Linked DNA regions of Elephas maximus indicus. The protein of the gene in region 1 purifies or fractionates together with the protein of each later gene. This does not show direct contact. Links are inferred from orthologs where the notes say so. Each region holds a gene or a part of one and is shown on either strand. Other genes may lie near its edges.

Region 1 (7,713 bases):
CAGCTATCTTCTGGTTTCCCTGGCCTGTTGATCCCACAAGGGCCTTGAGCCCTGGCGCGTGCCAGCGTGACAGAGAACAGAAAAATGAGTCCCTGCCCTGGGGGAGCTGGTGGCTTGGGGCGGGGGGAGCTGGACAGATTAACTCGTACATTCATTCAGCAAGCATTTATTAAGCACCTACTACAGCAAGTACCGGGGCAGTGGTTCCTCAGTGGTAGAGTTCTTGCCTGCCATGACAGAGACCTGGGCTCCATTCCTGGCCAAAGTACCTCACGTAGAACCAATACCCATCCGTCAGTGGAGGCTTCTGCATTGCTCCGACGCTGAACAGGATTCAGCATTGCTTCCTAAGATAGACTAGGAAGAAAGGCCTGGGAATCTACTTAGGAAAACCCTATGAATCACAATAGTCTGAATGACCATCACTCATGGGGGTGGTGCAGGACTGGGCAGCTTTTCGTTCCACTGTGCGTGGGGTCGCCATGAGAATGGGGGCCGACTTAACAGCAGCTGAGAACAGCAGTACCTTTTAAAAAACGTTCTCTGACAGCTATAAAGAATGGGCTGTACGGAACAAGAGTGGAAGCCAGAGATTGGATAGAAGACTCTAAGGTAAAAAATGCTGGTGGCCTGGGCTGGGAGTGTGGGGGTGAGGGTAGCAGTGCAGAGGAAAAGAAGCCCACAGACTAGGGATGCCTTTCGGAGCTGGACTCTGCAGACTTGTTGACAGGTTGCACATCATGGGGAGAGTTGGTAGGAAAAGGGCAGAGTCAAGCCTGCTGTGCAGGTTTGGGGCTTCAGCAGCTAAGTATGTGCCATCAGCCAAGATGGTAAAGAGCAGCAGAGCTGGCGATGGCATCGCAGTGTGATTGTGTCTACAACTGCTGTATTCTGAGCAGGGCAGAGGGTGGTGTCAGATGGTTCACAGAGGGGCAGCATTTACAGCTAAGTGCTCAAGAGTGGGAAGAGCAGAGGAGGAAGTGGTTTAAAGCAGTTGGGGCTCCATGGTTAAGGGAAGGATCCCAGGCATCAGGTGAACCTGAATTTGCATCCTGGCTCCTCTTCGTTCATCATAACTGTGGACAAGTCATTTGCCCTGTGTGGGCCTCATTTTTCTCATCTGTAAAATGGGATGAAAGATGCATACCGCCATCTGCCATGTATCTGTTAAATGAGAAAACATAAATTAAGTGTGTGGCAGGGTGCACCATATAAACTTAGCTCCCGTTGAACAAACACTCGTGGTATTGCTATAATTGCCCGGGTCACAGCTTAAACAGCAAGTCAAACTCCATGGCTCTGGAAATGTCTTTGGCTAAAAGGGTTGGGGGTGGTGTATTAGTTATCAGGAGCCCTGGTGGTGCAGTGGTTAAGCACTCAGCTGCTAACCTAAAGGTTGGCGGTTCAAACCCATCAGCCACTTTGTGGGAGAAAGATGTGGCAGTCTGCTTCTGCAAAGTGTACAGCCTTGGAAACCCCATGGGGCAGTTTTACTCTGCCCTGTAGGATTGCTATGAGTTAGAATTGACTTGACAGCAACCGTGGGTATATTAGTTTTCTATTATTGCACAACAAATTACCCTGCAACTTAACAGTTAAAACACATGGGAGCTCTTAGAATAGTGCCGCTTTGATGGACACGGAACCAAAATTACTGGTGGTAGTTCAGAATCACCCCACCCAATTTGTGGTCAGCATACAGTGGCAGCCACCTGTGGGTGGTCCAGGAGAGCCTGTTTAAGAAAAGAGTGGGGCGGAGGTTTCTTGTGCCTTAAACTCTGCTCAGCCAAACCCCAAACAGCATTTTCTCAAACAGTGGTTCCCGGATTGTCTGCAACCAAGTCATCTGGGAGCTTGTGGGAAAAAACGCAGACTCCTGTGTCCTGCCACAGGCTTTCAGAATCTGAATCAGGTGGGGGCAGAGCCTTGAAACCTGAATTTTTAAAATGAACTTTGAATTTTAGAACCGTTTAGATTTATAGAAAAAATTGCAAAGATCATACAGAAAGTTCTCATATACCCAACACCCATTTCCCTATTATTAACATCTTACGTGGTTATGGTACACTTGTTACAATCAATGAACCAATATTGATACATTATTATTAACTAAAGTCCATACTTTGTCCAACACCCATGGAAGCAGCAGTCAGGAAATCAAAGGATATATTGCATTGGGCACATCTGCAGAAGACCTCTTTAAAGTGTTAAGATGCAGAGATGTCACCTGTGAGGATTAAGGTGCACCTGACTCAAGCTGTGGTATTTTCAATAGCCTCATACGCCTGTGAAAGCTGGATGATGAATAAGGAAGGCTGAAAAAAATTGATGCATTTGAATTATGGTGTTGGTGAAGAATGTTGAATATGCTGTCAACTGCCAGAGGAATGAACTAAATCTGTACATCCAGAATGTTCCTTAGAAGTGAGGATGGCAAGACTTTGTCTCATGTACTTTGGACATGTTATCAGGAGGGACTACTCCTTGGAGAAGGACATCATGTTTGGTAAAGTAGAGGGTCAGCAAAAAAGAGGAAGCCCCTCAATGAGAAGAACTGACACAGTGGCAGCAACAGTGGGCTCAAAGGTAGCAACGATTGCGAGGATGGCGCAGGACTGGGCAATGTTTTGTTCTGTTGTACATCGGGTCACAATGAGTTGGAACTGACTTGATGGCACTTAACAGAGTACTTTATTCAGATGTCCTTAGCTTAATGTCCTTTTTGACCAGCCCTGGTGGCCCAGTGGTTAAGTGTTCAGCTGCTAACCTAAAGGTTGTTGGTTCAAACCCACCAGCCGCTCTGCGGGAAAAAGATGTGGCAGTTTACTTCCATAAATACTATAGACTTGGAAACCCTATGGGGCAGTTCTGCTCTGCCATATAGGGTCACCATGAGTGGGAATCGTCTCAACGGCAGTGGCTTTGAGTGTCCTTTTTCTGTTCCAAGATTCCATCCAGCGCATCCCATCACATTTAGTTGTCATGTCTCCTTAAGCTCTTCTTGGGTGTGACAGTTTCTCAGACTTCCTTGTTTTCAGAGATTGACAGTTTTGGGGAGTACTAGTCAGGTATTTTCTAGAAATTGGGATTTGTCTCATGTTTTTCTCCTGATTAGACATGGGGTTATGGGTTTTAGGGAAGAAGACGAGAGGGAAAGTGCCATTTTCATTACATCATATCAAGGGTATATGCTGTCAACATAACTTATCACTGTTGATGTTGACCTTGATCACCTGGCTGAGGCAGTGTTTCTGCACTATAAAGTTACTCTTTTTTTTTTTTCCCTATCCTTTCCATACCGTACACTTTGGAAGGAAGTTATTATATGCAGCCCACACTTAAGGAATGAGGAGTTATGCTCCACCTCCGTGAGGGTGGGGTATCTACATAAATTATTTGGAATTCTTCTGCCTAGGAAATTTGTCTGTTTTCCCCCATTTATTTATTCGATCATTTAAAAATCTGTATCAGTCTCCCTGGATGATGCTGATGGTTAACGCACTCCGCTGCTAGCCAGAAGGTTAGAGGTTCCGGCTCACCCAGAGGCACTTCAAAAGAAAAGCCTGGCAGTCTTCTTCCGGAAACTCTGCCACTGAAAACTGTGGAGCACAATTCTACTCTAACACAATGGGGTCACCAACAGTTGGGGTCGCCAGGAGTCTGTCAACTGAATGGCTACTGATGGTGGTGGTGAACTTGTGATGATTTTATACTTGGAGTTATAATCCAATACTACTTGTTACTCAAATTGCTCCAGCTGTGGCCACTGGGAGCCCTGCTCCAGTGCCCCTTTGACCTCCCCCCAGCACTGTGCGTGTGTTTTGTTTTCGTTTTAGCACTGCCTTACACTCTGGCACTACAAGATGCTCTGGGCCCATCTGCATAATGCTCTGCCCCTCGTTCCCTTATTGCAGTACGGTGGTAGAAACCAAGATCTAGGGCGTAGTGTGCGTGAACCTAAAACTTACCGTGGTAAAATACGTTAACACAAAGTTTGCTATTTTTAGCCATTTTAAGTGTAGAATTCAGTTATATAACTACATTCACAATGTTATATAACTATCACCACTGTATCCACAACTTTCATTATCCCAAACCGTACCCACTCAGCCCTCCCCCCAGCCTCTGGCAATCACTGGTGTCTGTACATTTGCCTGTTGTACACACTTCACATAACTGTTCAACTTCTTAAGCAAGTAGAGTTAGAGAACCTCTGTTCTCAAAGTTCTGTTTCCGGTCTTTGGAGTACTTTCCTAGCCTCCCCCCGCCCACCAGTTTCAGCGGTCGTCGGCAGAGGGCGCATGAAAAGGCAGAATGTTTTCTTTTTTACCACACACGCCCTTCCAATTGGAAGAGAACCGCGGGAGATAAGCACATATGCGGCGGTACTAAGCTCTGCGCCAGTCGACTGTCACGTGAGGGTCGGCCGTCAGCTGACCAGTGCTCAAGGTCCATAAGGAGGGGCGGGCCCTAGCGAGGGCAGCTGATAATTGGTGGAGTAAGAACCAGGAAGGTGGCGCCCTGGGGGCGGATCTTCACGGCGAGGATTTGGATTGGCTTAGGCCGAGTCACGTGGGCAGTGAGACTGCCGTAAGCTGCTGTGCGTACGCGTCTAAGTCTTGCAGATGCAGATTGGAGTTTGCGGCTCATTGGTCGGTACGCGGAGGCTGGCGGGGGCGTGGCCGGTGGGGCGCGCACCTTGTCACGAGGCTGTTGGTTGGTCGGCGTAAGTCACATGGTGCTGGGCGGCCGGCGGCGCGCGCCGGTGCGACGTCAACGCAGCTCGCTAAGCTCCCCGGACCTGTCTTCTGCGGCCGGGCCAGGGCAGAGTCTTCCCAGGGCCCGGTTCGGACAGTTTGCTGAGTCCCTTTGCGTCCGCCATGGACAACTCCGGGAAGGAAGCGGAGGCGATAGCGCTACTGGCCGAAGCGGAGCGCAAGGTGAAGAACTCGCAGTCCTTCTTTTCTGGCCTCTTTGGGTAAGAACCGGGCCGCGGGCCGGCGGAACCTAGGCTGAGTGACGGGCCGAAGGAGTTACGGCCTGAAGCGGCGGGGCAGGCACAAAGGGTTCGGCCCAAGAGGACGGAGGGGGTTCCGGGATGAGGAGACATGATCCAAGGCAGCGGGGGGACACAGGCTTGAGGGCCAAGGGGCCCAGACCTTGGCGACAGGGCGTGAGCAGAGACAGTGGGACGGCGGAGGGGACCTGGGCTGAGAAGACACTAGCCGAGGCGACACCATCTTGAGGCGGCTAGGGGAACTTACATCCAAGACGGGCCAAGGGGCTGGAGGAGAACATGGGCCGAGGCCTTGAAAGGGGCTTGGCCTGAGAGGTTGCGGCAGCTAGGTTAAGGAGTCTTTCGGAGCTCTAGGAGAACCTATTTCAAGGATCCTTGATGAGGCCTGGGGCTGAAGCCACTTGCCCGAGGTGTTGACATTTCCGAGGCCCGCGAAAGTGGATTTGTGTGGACCCTGGGTGAAGGGTGAGGACCGAGGAATCAGACACCAGGCCGAGGGTATCAGGGCTCCGGGGATCCTGAGAGTGGTGAGCCCAAGTCAAGGTGTGCAAAGTGCCTGGGGTGGTGACCAGTCTTAAGAGTATCTTAGCCTGGAGTGGAACCCAAGTGGAGGAGTCCCTGGGGATGATGTAGGAGGCCTGAGCTCAGAAGCTGGAGAGGAATGTGTGGTGAGGGAATGGGTGATGCCGGCTTGGCTGAGATTGAGGGATCAAAGGGAGACATGAGGAAACTGAAGAACCGAAGGGAGGTGTGTTAAGGCTGCTTTGTGATCATTGAGTAAGGATGGGGAGGTCTGGGGACAGTGGCGGGTGCGGGGTGTGAAGAGGACCTGAAAGGGGCCTGTGAGGCAGAACTGACACCTGTGACATGATGGATATTTCACGTAAAATTTATTAAGTCTTGAAAGTAGTCCTGACGACATCCTTTGAGAAATCTTGGTGGTTTTCGGGTGTCATAAAGGCCAGGTTTGAAGTTTGATTCTACCCCTTACTTTGGGATGCTGAGTAAGTAAAGTTGTTGAACTTCCCTTTTAAAGGGGATCACTCATAAAGCCCACCTCAGAGGTTTGCTGTGAGCGTGTGTAAGTGCAAGCCTGGAATGCAGTTAAAGCTTGGAAAGTGTTGGTTGTTGTTAATGTTGCTACATGTGAGGAGACAGGCTTGGAGCCTGTAGGGGGGCTGGTGGGGTTAAGGCCTGAGCCTGAAGGGAGAGGTCTGGGAGGAGTGAGGAGGGATCTGAGGGGGAAAAAGCCTAAGTGTGATAAAGAGGAGGAGAGAAGGAGGGGGGAAATGGCTCCGGGCCAGGGGGTCTGCAGGGTTAGAGGGCTCTGGGCAGAAGAAGTAGGGATCCCTGGAGGACTAGAGGAGGGGGTGCTGAGGGAGGGACTGGAAAGGGTGAAGGGGAAGCTGTCAGGACTGTGAGGAAGACTAGGAGAGGAAGTGCTTGGCTGCTAACTGCAGGGTTGGCGGTTCAAACCCACCCAGCAGCTCCGTGGCAGAAAGGCCTGACAGTCACCTCCCTTAAAGATTACTGCCAAGGAAACCCTGTGGGGCAGTTCTGATCTGTCACTTGGAGTCACAATGAGTTGAAATCAACTTGAGGGCATCTAATAACAACAGAGAGTTAGGAAGGAGTCCCCAGGTGGCTCAAATGGTTAAATGGTTTACTAGCTAAAAGGTTGGCAGTTTGAACCCACCCAGAGGCACCTCAGTAGTCAAGCCTGGCGATCTGCTTCTGAAAGGTCGGAGCCTTGAAAACCCGATGGAATAGTTCTGCTCTGCACGCGTGGGATCAGCATGAGTGGGAATGGACTCCATGACAGCCAACAACAAAGAGGAAGAACTGCAGGTCGGGGTGGGCATGGACTCAGAGAACTCAAGAGAGGCAGGGACCAGGGAGGGCTGTAAGGCTGGAGAACCCCCAGAAGGCTAGGAAATGGGGTTTAGGAGGAGGACCTGGGGGCTAGAAGAGATTGTGTTAGGAGCCCAGCAGGGGTTAGTAAGAAATAAGAGTAAGTTCTTTTGAGAGAGGAGATGGTGGAAGGAGCCCTCCCTTGTTATTTGAGATTGGAAAATGTGCAGCAAACGGACTGGAGGAAAGTGGTGTGAGGAGACAGCCAGGACTGATGGGTCATATTGATTACGCAAAGAATGTTGTTTTAGAAGCTGAGAGGGGAGAGAGAGTGTTTGTGTTTTTCTTCCTTCACAAGGGGAGAAGTTCAAGTGCAATGTATTGGGGTGGGGCCAAGAGCTCAGTTTCAGGTAGTAGTTTTCCTGGGTGGTTCTGGGTGTCTGGTCCCTTCTGACTAGGAATCGGGGGCTCTTGGGTTGTGCTTGGAGGGAGCAGCTAGGCCAGCGAGATCAGAGCCCTTGAGGCACTTGCAGCCTGCCTGGGTGCCCTTGAGTCTTTTCCAACTCATAGAGCTGCCCATTGGGTTTCCTAGGCTGAAATCTTTACCCAGGTCTTTTCTCCCACAGAGCGGCTGGTAGATTCGAATTTGCCAACCTTTCAGCTAGTAACTTAATTGTTGTGTCACCAGGGCTCTTTAAGGCAAGATGAACACTGGCGAATTGTGATCAAAGTGAACTTGTATGGGGAAACAAGGGGTAGATTATGTTGTTCGGGGAAGTTCTGAGATGAGAGTATGAACTGGAGGAAGGCTATTTGTGAGGAGTGAGCTGGACCTCCTGGAGCCC
Region 2 (6,883 bases), on another chromosome or scaffold:
ATAAGGGCAGGCATTCGTGAGCAGATAACGTCTGAGCAAAAACTGGAAGGCATGTCTTATTCCTGAACTTTCCCTTTTTAAGCCATGCCTCTGTATACACAGTTTTCTCTGTCTGGAATGTCCTTCCACTGCTGCTACACAAGACTTGAAACCAGTTCAGATTTCATCTCTGCTATAAAATCCTTCCCAGCACCCCCAACGGGTCTCACTGATCTTTTTGTAAGCTCTTTTCTGTACCACTTGACTCCTACTCACTGTAAGTATGGGTTCATGGGGCTGGATACCTCTTCTAGACAATAAGCCTGAATAAGGAATAAGGAATCTTGTCTCATGTTTTTGTCACCAGTGCCCAGCATAATCCTTTGTACCTTGTAGGTTATCCAAAAGTATCTACTGGCTCAATGGATGAGTAGGATGCTTGGGGCTGGCTCTAGAAACTTGCTCTGGGCTTCCACAGCAATGGAAAATGATGGAAGTGATCTGACCGATGGCTAGTAGCTCACCTGTTTGATGATGTATGTCAGCTCCTCGATTTCCACTGCTTTATCATCAAAGAGGGACTTGCGCTTTGCCACTGCAGGGACAAGTGAGAACCCACAACAGGTGAGGTCAGAAACAGGACTCAGAGTAAGGCTCCCCAATGTCTTTGGTTCATTGCCCCACCACAAAAGGGTCCCCCAAAACACTCACAGATTGTCAGCTTCTCCAGCTTGGCAAATGTGTTGCTGAGATCTTTCCCAATGCGCCTGCAAATGAGCATTAGTGAGAGCACTGTAAGAAAGGGCAGGAGAGTGCCTATTCCCGCATCAGCTCCAGCACAGCCAATCCCAGTCCTCACAGCCAAGCCTATCAAAGGCAAGCCCACTTCTGCTCAGACACAAGAGCGTACCACCACACCGCTTCTCTCGACTCACTTGGCCATGAGGGTGAATTCACTGCGCTGCCGGACAGCACGCAGAGCTGGCTTGTTCGTTTGGATTCCATTCTGAAAAGCAATGTCAGGAGGTGACAACTTTAGCTCTCCCTTCCTCATTTCCAGACTTTACTGCTCCTCAGATGCCCACTAAACTCCTTCTAGTGATGAGCTCCTTAATCAGATAGCCTAGATTTACCAGCAGTAGTAGTTTAAGAGCTCAGATTAAAGACAAGTAGATCTGGGTTCAAAGCTTGACTCTCACTTATTAGCTGAGAGACTTAAACCATTTTGAGTCTTTGTTTCCTCTACTCTAAAAGGAAAACAATTCACCTATCTCCTATTATTGTTACTGAAACTAAATGACAAAAAAGCTGTAAAGTATTTTAGACAAATATTGAGCATATTATAAATACTAAACTGGTAGCTGGTACTGCCATTCTATTCTCAGAATCAAAAGAGAAGTATAACTAGAAGGTTTGGAGATCATGTGGATGAGCAGCTATTAGCAAGAGCTGAACACGAAATATACTTAAAAATAGTTACCCAGATCCCACTTGGATTTAGGAATCTGGACTTAGACAAACGAATTTGCCTTTTAAAAGACACTCTAAAGCAATTCTGACAAAAATCACTGATCTAGAAAACTTCTCTCATTTTAATGACAGAAAAACTGAGGTCCAAATAGTAATTAACTTCCTCACGGTCACAAAACAAACTTCTGTTAGAACTACGTGGGAACCAGAATTCAAGGTGCATGCCTCCCAGCTAAAGCGTATTGCTAGAGCCTGTTACTTATCCAAATCAAATACAGTGCAGCCACCTCTGGCCCTGAGGGATTCCTCCCAGAACAACAGCCCTACCCTCAGGGGGTTCTTCACAGAAGTCAAGGTCCTTGCCTCCAGTTAGCTAACCTGCATCTTCTCTGCTGCTTAGTAGATCCCACAGCCCCACACATGAGCCTGCCATAAGGATCCCCCAAGAACTACTTCAGCAAACAGTGCTGCAGCCCACTTCCCCACCGACTACGGCTCACCTCTCGCCTTTCCCACTCCAGGTCCTTACCTGACGGCTCTGCAGGGACTTGCAAGCAGACAGGAACTCTTGGGTCCGGTCCCGGCAGGACATGGCGTCGGGAGGGGGAGGGACTAGGGCCACTGGGGGGGGCAGAGGGGCGATGTCGCTGCTGCCACTGCCAGCAGTTGCAGGGGACAGGACCTGTGTCTTTGAGAGACCCAGGTAGACACCCTGATCCGTGTTCTTAGATCCGTAGCGTTTCCGCGGGATCATTGAGACGCATAACCTCGGACTGTTGTGGAGGGCAGAGTGTCATTCCCCAGGCAGCCTCCATCCCCACAAGTTCCCCCCGACCAGCAAATCCTCCGGCCCTTTCTGCACCTGGCACGGACTTTCGCGCCCAAGGCCGGCCCGCAGAGGGAAGGCCCCGCTTCCTTCCCGGCTCAAGTTGTCCCCTCCTCAGACCCTTCTTCCAACTTGGCTCGGTCGGCCAGGGCGCGGGCCTGGGGCCCTGAGCGCAGCCAGGGCCAGAGCCACGTCCCGTGGCCCTGAGGCTACAGCTCGGCAGGTGCAGCTGCCCCAGGCCTTAACTGGGCCGTCCCGTACCCCTGGGCTCCTTAAACTCCTCAGGGGGAAACGGTGACGGACTTCCTGACCGGGACACACTTCGGTGGGCGGAGGGGGGAATCTCTAAGTGTTTATTTGAAACAGGAAGTCCCACCCCCCGCCCAAGTTCCGCCTCCTGGAGGATTGCAACCACTGATTAGCTAATATCGACGTCTTTCTCAACAGGAACGTTCCTGATTGGACGGTCAAGCATTCGCTCACCGCCCCCCCCCCCGGGCCGGCAAGACTTGCCGGCTCGTCCCCTGTTCCCCTCCCCCCCGTCGCCGCCCCCAGAGAGCCGCTGTCCCGGAGCTGACACGGCGACCGGACCCCCTCTTAAAGCGAATCCTACCTCCTCACTGCCGCCGGCCGCCGCTGCCTATGCCACAGTCTCCTGGGCCGTCACTGCCTCCTCCCCGAGAGCAGAAGCCGCCGAAACCCGGCCAAAGATTGGAAGCCGCCACGTCACCCACACGTAACCCCGCCCCTGGTGACGACAGCGCGGCGCCACGCTTTTCCAAGCCCGGCGACCCGGCAGACACGCCCCTGCCCGAGCGTAGGCGTGACCTCACCGTCCCATTGGCTAGGCCGATACCGTGACCCCGCCCCAGAGGAGGGAGCCCTTGAGCACCGGGGGGCTAGGCCAACCTTAGGGTAGGAGTCTTAAAGAGCCCGCAGCCCCAGTGGTGCCGTCGCCCGGTGCTCCGAAAGTGGCAGTGGAGAGTAAGCGCTCGCGCAAGTCCGCGTTAGAAATTTTATTCTCTGGAGGCTGGGGCGAACTGAGAGCAGGTCTGGGGTCACCCCTTTTCTGACTCCTCCTGGATCCTCTCCGGGGCGTTCTCCGCCTTCTGACTCCCCGGCTTTTGACTCTGGCCTGAATGCTTCTTGTTCGACCGTGAGGAGCCCCGACGGCTGAACAGGGATAGCCGCCGCCACAGCACAGTGATCAGAAGGCTTTCGCTCGACTTGCGATTCCGGCGGCTCGGGGCGTCCGTGGCATCAGTCCCTTCGGTGCCTAGGGGGTCCACGAGGCCGCTGAGCTTTGCTTTACCATCCCCTGTCCAACCTCCCTGGCCATACCGCTGGGGCAGCCTCCTCTCCCGCGCCCGTGCCTGTCCCCCTCTTCTGCATCTCTGCTCCCACCTTCCACGGAGTCGGCCTCCCTGGTGGCCTCATCGGAGTCCTTGTCTTGGCAGCAGCCCATGGCCCCCCGCGGCCCGCACTCCGTGCCAGCCCCGCCAGCCCACCCGCCCGCCCCGCGGGCCCTTCGCCGGCTTTTGTGACGTCAGAAATCGTGCCGCCCCAGCTCTCCTATCCCAAGCCACTTCTTCCCTTTCTCCCATCACAAAAGGCTCAGGTCATGGCGGGTGCTGGGATGTTTATTTACAAAGTGGGTACAGGGTTTTCAGGGACTGGTGGATCTAGGTCTCTTCTTTCTTTGCCTGGCTTGTTGGGCCCCTTGGCTCTGCTTGAAATTAGGGAGCTTCCGCTTTGCAGCCGCCTCCAAGGAAGCCCAAAGTTCATCCGTCTCTGTGTCTTCTGGGGACACCCTGTCGGGTTCTTCAGGCTCTTGGGGCTCATCCTGGTGAACGGGAGGAAAGCTGAAGAATCAGGGGCAAAGTAACAGACCCACAAGGAGGCCCTAAGCCAAAACTAAACCCATTCCAACCAGTTGATTGCAGTTCATACCGACCCCAGAGGACAGAGCAGAACTGCCATAGGCTTTCCAAGGCTGTAATCTTTACAGTAGATTGCCACACGTTTCTCCTGAGGAGTGGCTGGTGGGTTTGAACCACTGAACTTTTGGTTAGCAGCGCAGTGCTTAATCACTGTGCCACCAAGGCTCCTCTGTGGAAGCCCTAGTGGGAAGATAATCCCACCACCACCATCATCTTTATTTTCTGCACCCGGGACACCAATTCGGTCCATGCTTTTAGACATGTCACTCTTGGCAATAACTTTGTCAGGGCTGACTATTAAAACCTGTCAGAGAAATGAAATAATCTGGCAGGCAAGTGGACAGCTCCAGATCTGGGTTCCAGCTGCCACTTTTTTCTCTCTGAGGGAAATCCTCACATACATGCCCTTTGCTCTCACATTCCCAGATCCAGTAGCTCACCTCCCAGTTGTCCCTGCCCGACAGAAGGAGGCAATTCAGCCGAGACTTGAGATAAACCTGCAAAAGATGAGGGGACTTAAGGAGCCCAGGCATGCTGAAGTAGATGGAAAAATGAATGGGGGCACAGGTGCCAGTGGGCTCCAGGAACTGTGAACTAGGCAGAACGGGCAAGGCTCAAAGGTTCGGGCTCTCACCTTATGCTCCAGACCCCGTGGGTTCCGTATCCTGTGCACCCTCAAGACTCTATCCAGGCCGCAGGAGGCTAACAGGGGCTTTGAAGGGTGGCACTGCAACGCTCGGACACTGCCTGCCAGCCCCTTTAGACAGCCTAGGAGGCGCCCTGGGGACAGCAGGGGTATCAGTGTTAGCTGGCCAGCCAACAACCACGTATTGTTTGCTGTTCTGATCACTTTACATCTCAACATTTAGTCCTCAATGTAACTCAGAGACAGGAATTACCAGTAATATCTCCATGTTACACGTGAGGAAACTGAGGCACAGAGAGTTGAAGTAATTTGGCAAGGCCAGCAGCTTTTGGTGAAAACAGGATTTGAACCCAGGCAATGTGGCACCTGAACAGAGCTAACAACCACTCCATTGCATTGCCTCAGAAGGAATTCTGCCTTCTTCCCCACCCTCACCCTCTAGTCCACTTACCTTGCCGAAGGTCAATTTCTGCCAGCTGCCCATGCGTGTTCCCCACAATCACCGAACTGAAGAGACCAGAAGCAAGTGCGTCAGCAGGAACCTCCCGGAGCCGTCCCTGAGCCCCCGCCACCCACCTTTACCCCTCCAGGCACTTACTTGCCCTCAGGAGTGAGGGTCATGGCTGTCAGCGGATATTCTCCATAGGTGGCCTCAAGGACTGGCCGGCGCTGGGGGGAGGCTGGATCATAGACACGGACCTGGAGGAAGACTGAGTCATCATAAGAGTACCCTCAGCCCGCACACCCTCCTTGGGCTTCTCCACATCTTCCTGTGCTGTTTGTTTATGACCCAGTCTCAGACCAACCTGTGAGGTGGGCAGGTGTGGTGAAATAAGTTCCTTTATGTGGCCTTTTGCCTTGGTTCTTAGGAAAAACAGCTTGAGATTTTTCCACTAAGCCCTGAGGGGTTACCTTTGCCCTGGTTTTCTACCTAAGGGTTTGCTACTTCTGTCCATGTTGACTAACATTTCCTGGGTAAACTGTAAACGGCTTGGTTTGATACTTCTTGTCTGGTCCTGGGCTGTAGCCTATCCTGTGATAGGTATGCACCTTGTAAGGACTGATCAATATACTATGCAAATCAAGTGACTACAGACTATGCAAATCAAATGACTATGGTCCACAAAGGGGATTGGTTAGTCTGTGGCCCTGCCGGGAGGGCCATACCTTGAAACTGATAAGGAGTTTGCTTATATAAGTGGCCAAACCCACAGAGGTTTCAGAAGGGAGAAAAGACAAGACAGGCAAGAGAGAAGCAGCAGACAGGAGGCGAGGAACCTCCTAAAAGAGCTGTAACACAGGTGAAGGCCTGTAACACTGAAGGCATCAAGAAGCCCAGAAGGGGTCTTGCGACACAGCCAGTGGCAACAGGCCCAGGTTGGCCCTGGGGGAGAGTTGAAAATGACAGCAGAAACCTTCAGCTAGGAATGCAGCTAAGCTGAACAAAGCTTTTACACTGGCTATAAGCTGGATCAGTTAGCAGCAGAGAGGCTGACAGCAGGGTGGCCAAAGGCAAAGAGGCGTGCATGGCTGAGGGGGCGTGTATGGCAGAGAGAAGGGCCTGCTTGCTTGCATGGCCAAGAGGCGCCGGGAGCTATTTACACTGAAGAAGGGAGTGATGTGCCTTCCACCTCAGGGGCGTCTTTTAGACTTTGCTTACATGCTTCCGGATCCTGATCCTAAGTTGCAGCCTGTTGATTCTGATATCCTGTTACTTCCTTAGTAAACCACTTAACTGTAAGTATGGCCTGAGTTGTGTGGCTGTTCCAATGACTTACGGAACCCCGCAGAGAAGCAGAGTGCGCCATGGGGGCAAGAGGGGATGCGGTTGGCTGGTGTCGGAAATGGTAAAGAAGTTGGAGAGGGGGGTATGTTTGACCTCCACCTCATAGGAATCAGCTTTGGGCTGATGGTGATTCTGTCTCCTCCTCCTGAAGTTAGAGGACTTCAGGCGCTACTAGAACATTTTTTTAGCAGGATTGTGAAAACTGAGGTACAAGCTTACTTAGAAGCATAAATGGA

What was found. Proteins that work in one complex are often made in the same cells at the same time.
Region 2: the proteins of NAPA (region 1) and STX5 purify together in Homo sapiens (affinity purification with mass spectrometry; 3 studies listed by BioGRID and IntAct, with this or other methods). This does not show direct contact. The link is inferred for Elephas maximus indicus from reciprocal best matches to the Homo sapiens genes NAPA and STX5.

What each region holds. Positions count from the first base shown.
Region 1 is NC_064829.1:101,403,291-101,411,003, forward strand, and holds the start of NAPA (alpha-soluble NSF attachment protein), read left to right. Parts: upstream 1-4,699; 5' UTR 4,700-4,880; coding exon 4,881-4,978; intron 4,979-7,713. UniProt on the Homo sapiens protein: Required for vesicular transport between the endoplasmic reticulum and the Golgi apparatus. Together with GNA12 promotes CDH5 localization to plasma membrane.
Region 2 is NC_064825.1:125,978,742-125,985,624, forward strand, and holds the start of STX5 (syntaxin-5), read right to left. Parts: upstream 2,893-6,883; 5' UTR 2,889-2,892; intron 2,668-2,888; exon of another isoform or gene 2,312-2,667; intron 2,223-2,311; 5' UTR 2,204-2,222; coding exon 1,979-2,203; intron 986-1,978; coding exon 915-985; intron 747-914; coding exon 691-746; intron 575-690; coding exon 504-574; intron 1-503. Other genes in the region: WDR74 (WD repeat-containing protein 74), read right to left, coding at 3,942-4,118, 4,656-4,712, 4,850-4,995, 5,313-5,368, 5,460-5,560. UniProt on the Homo sapiens protein: Mediates endoplasmic reticulum to Golgi transport.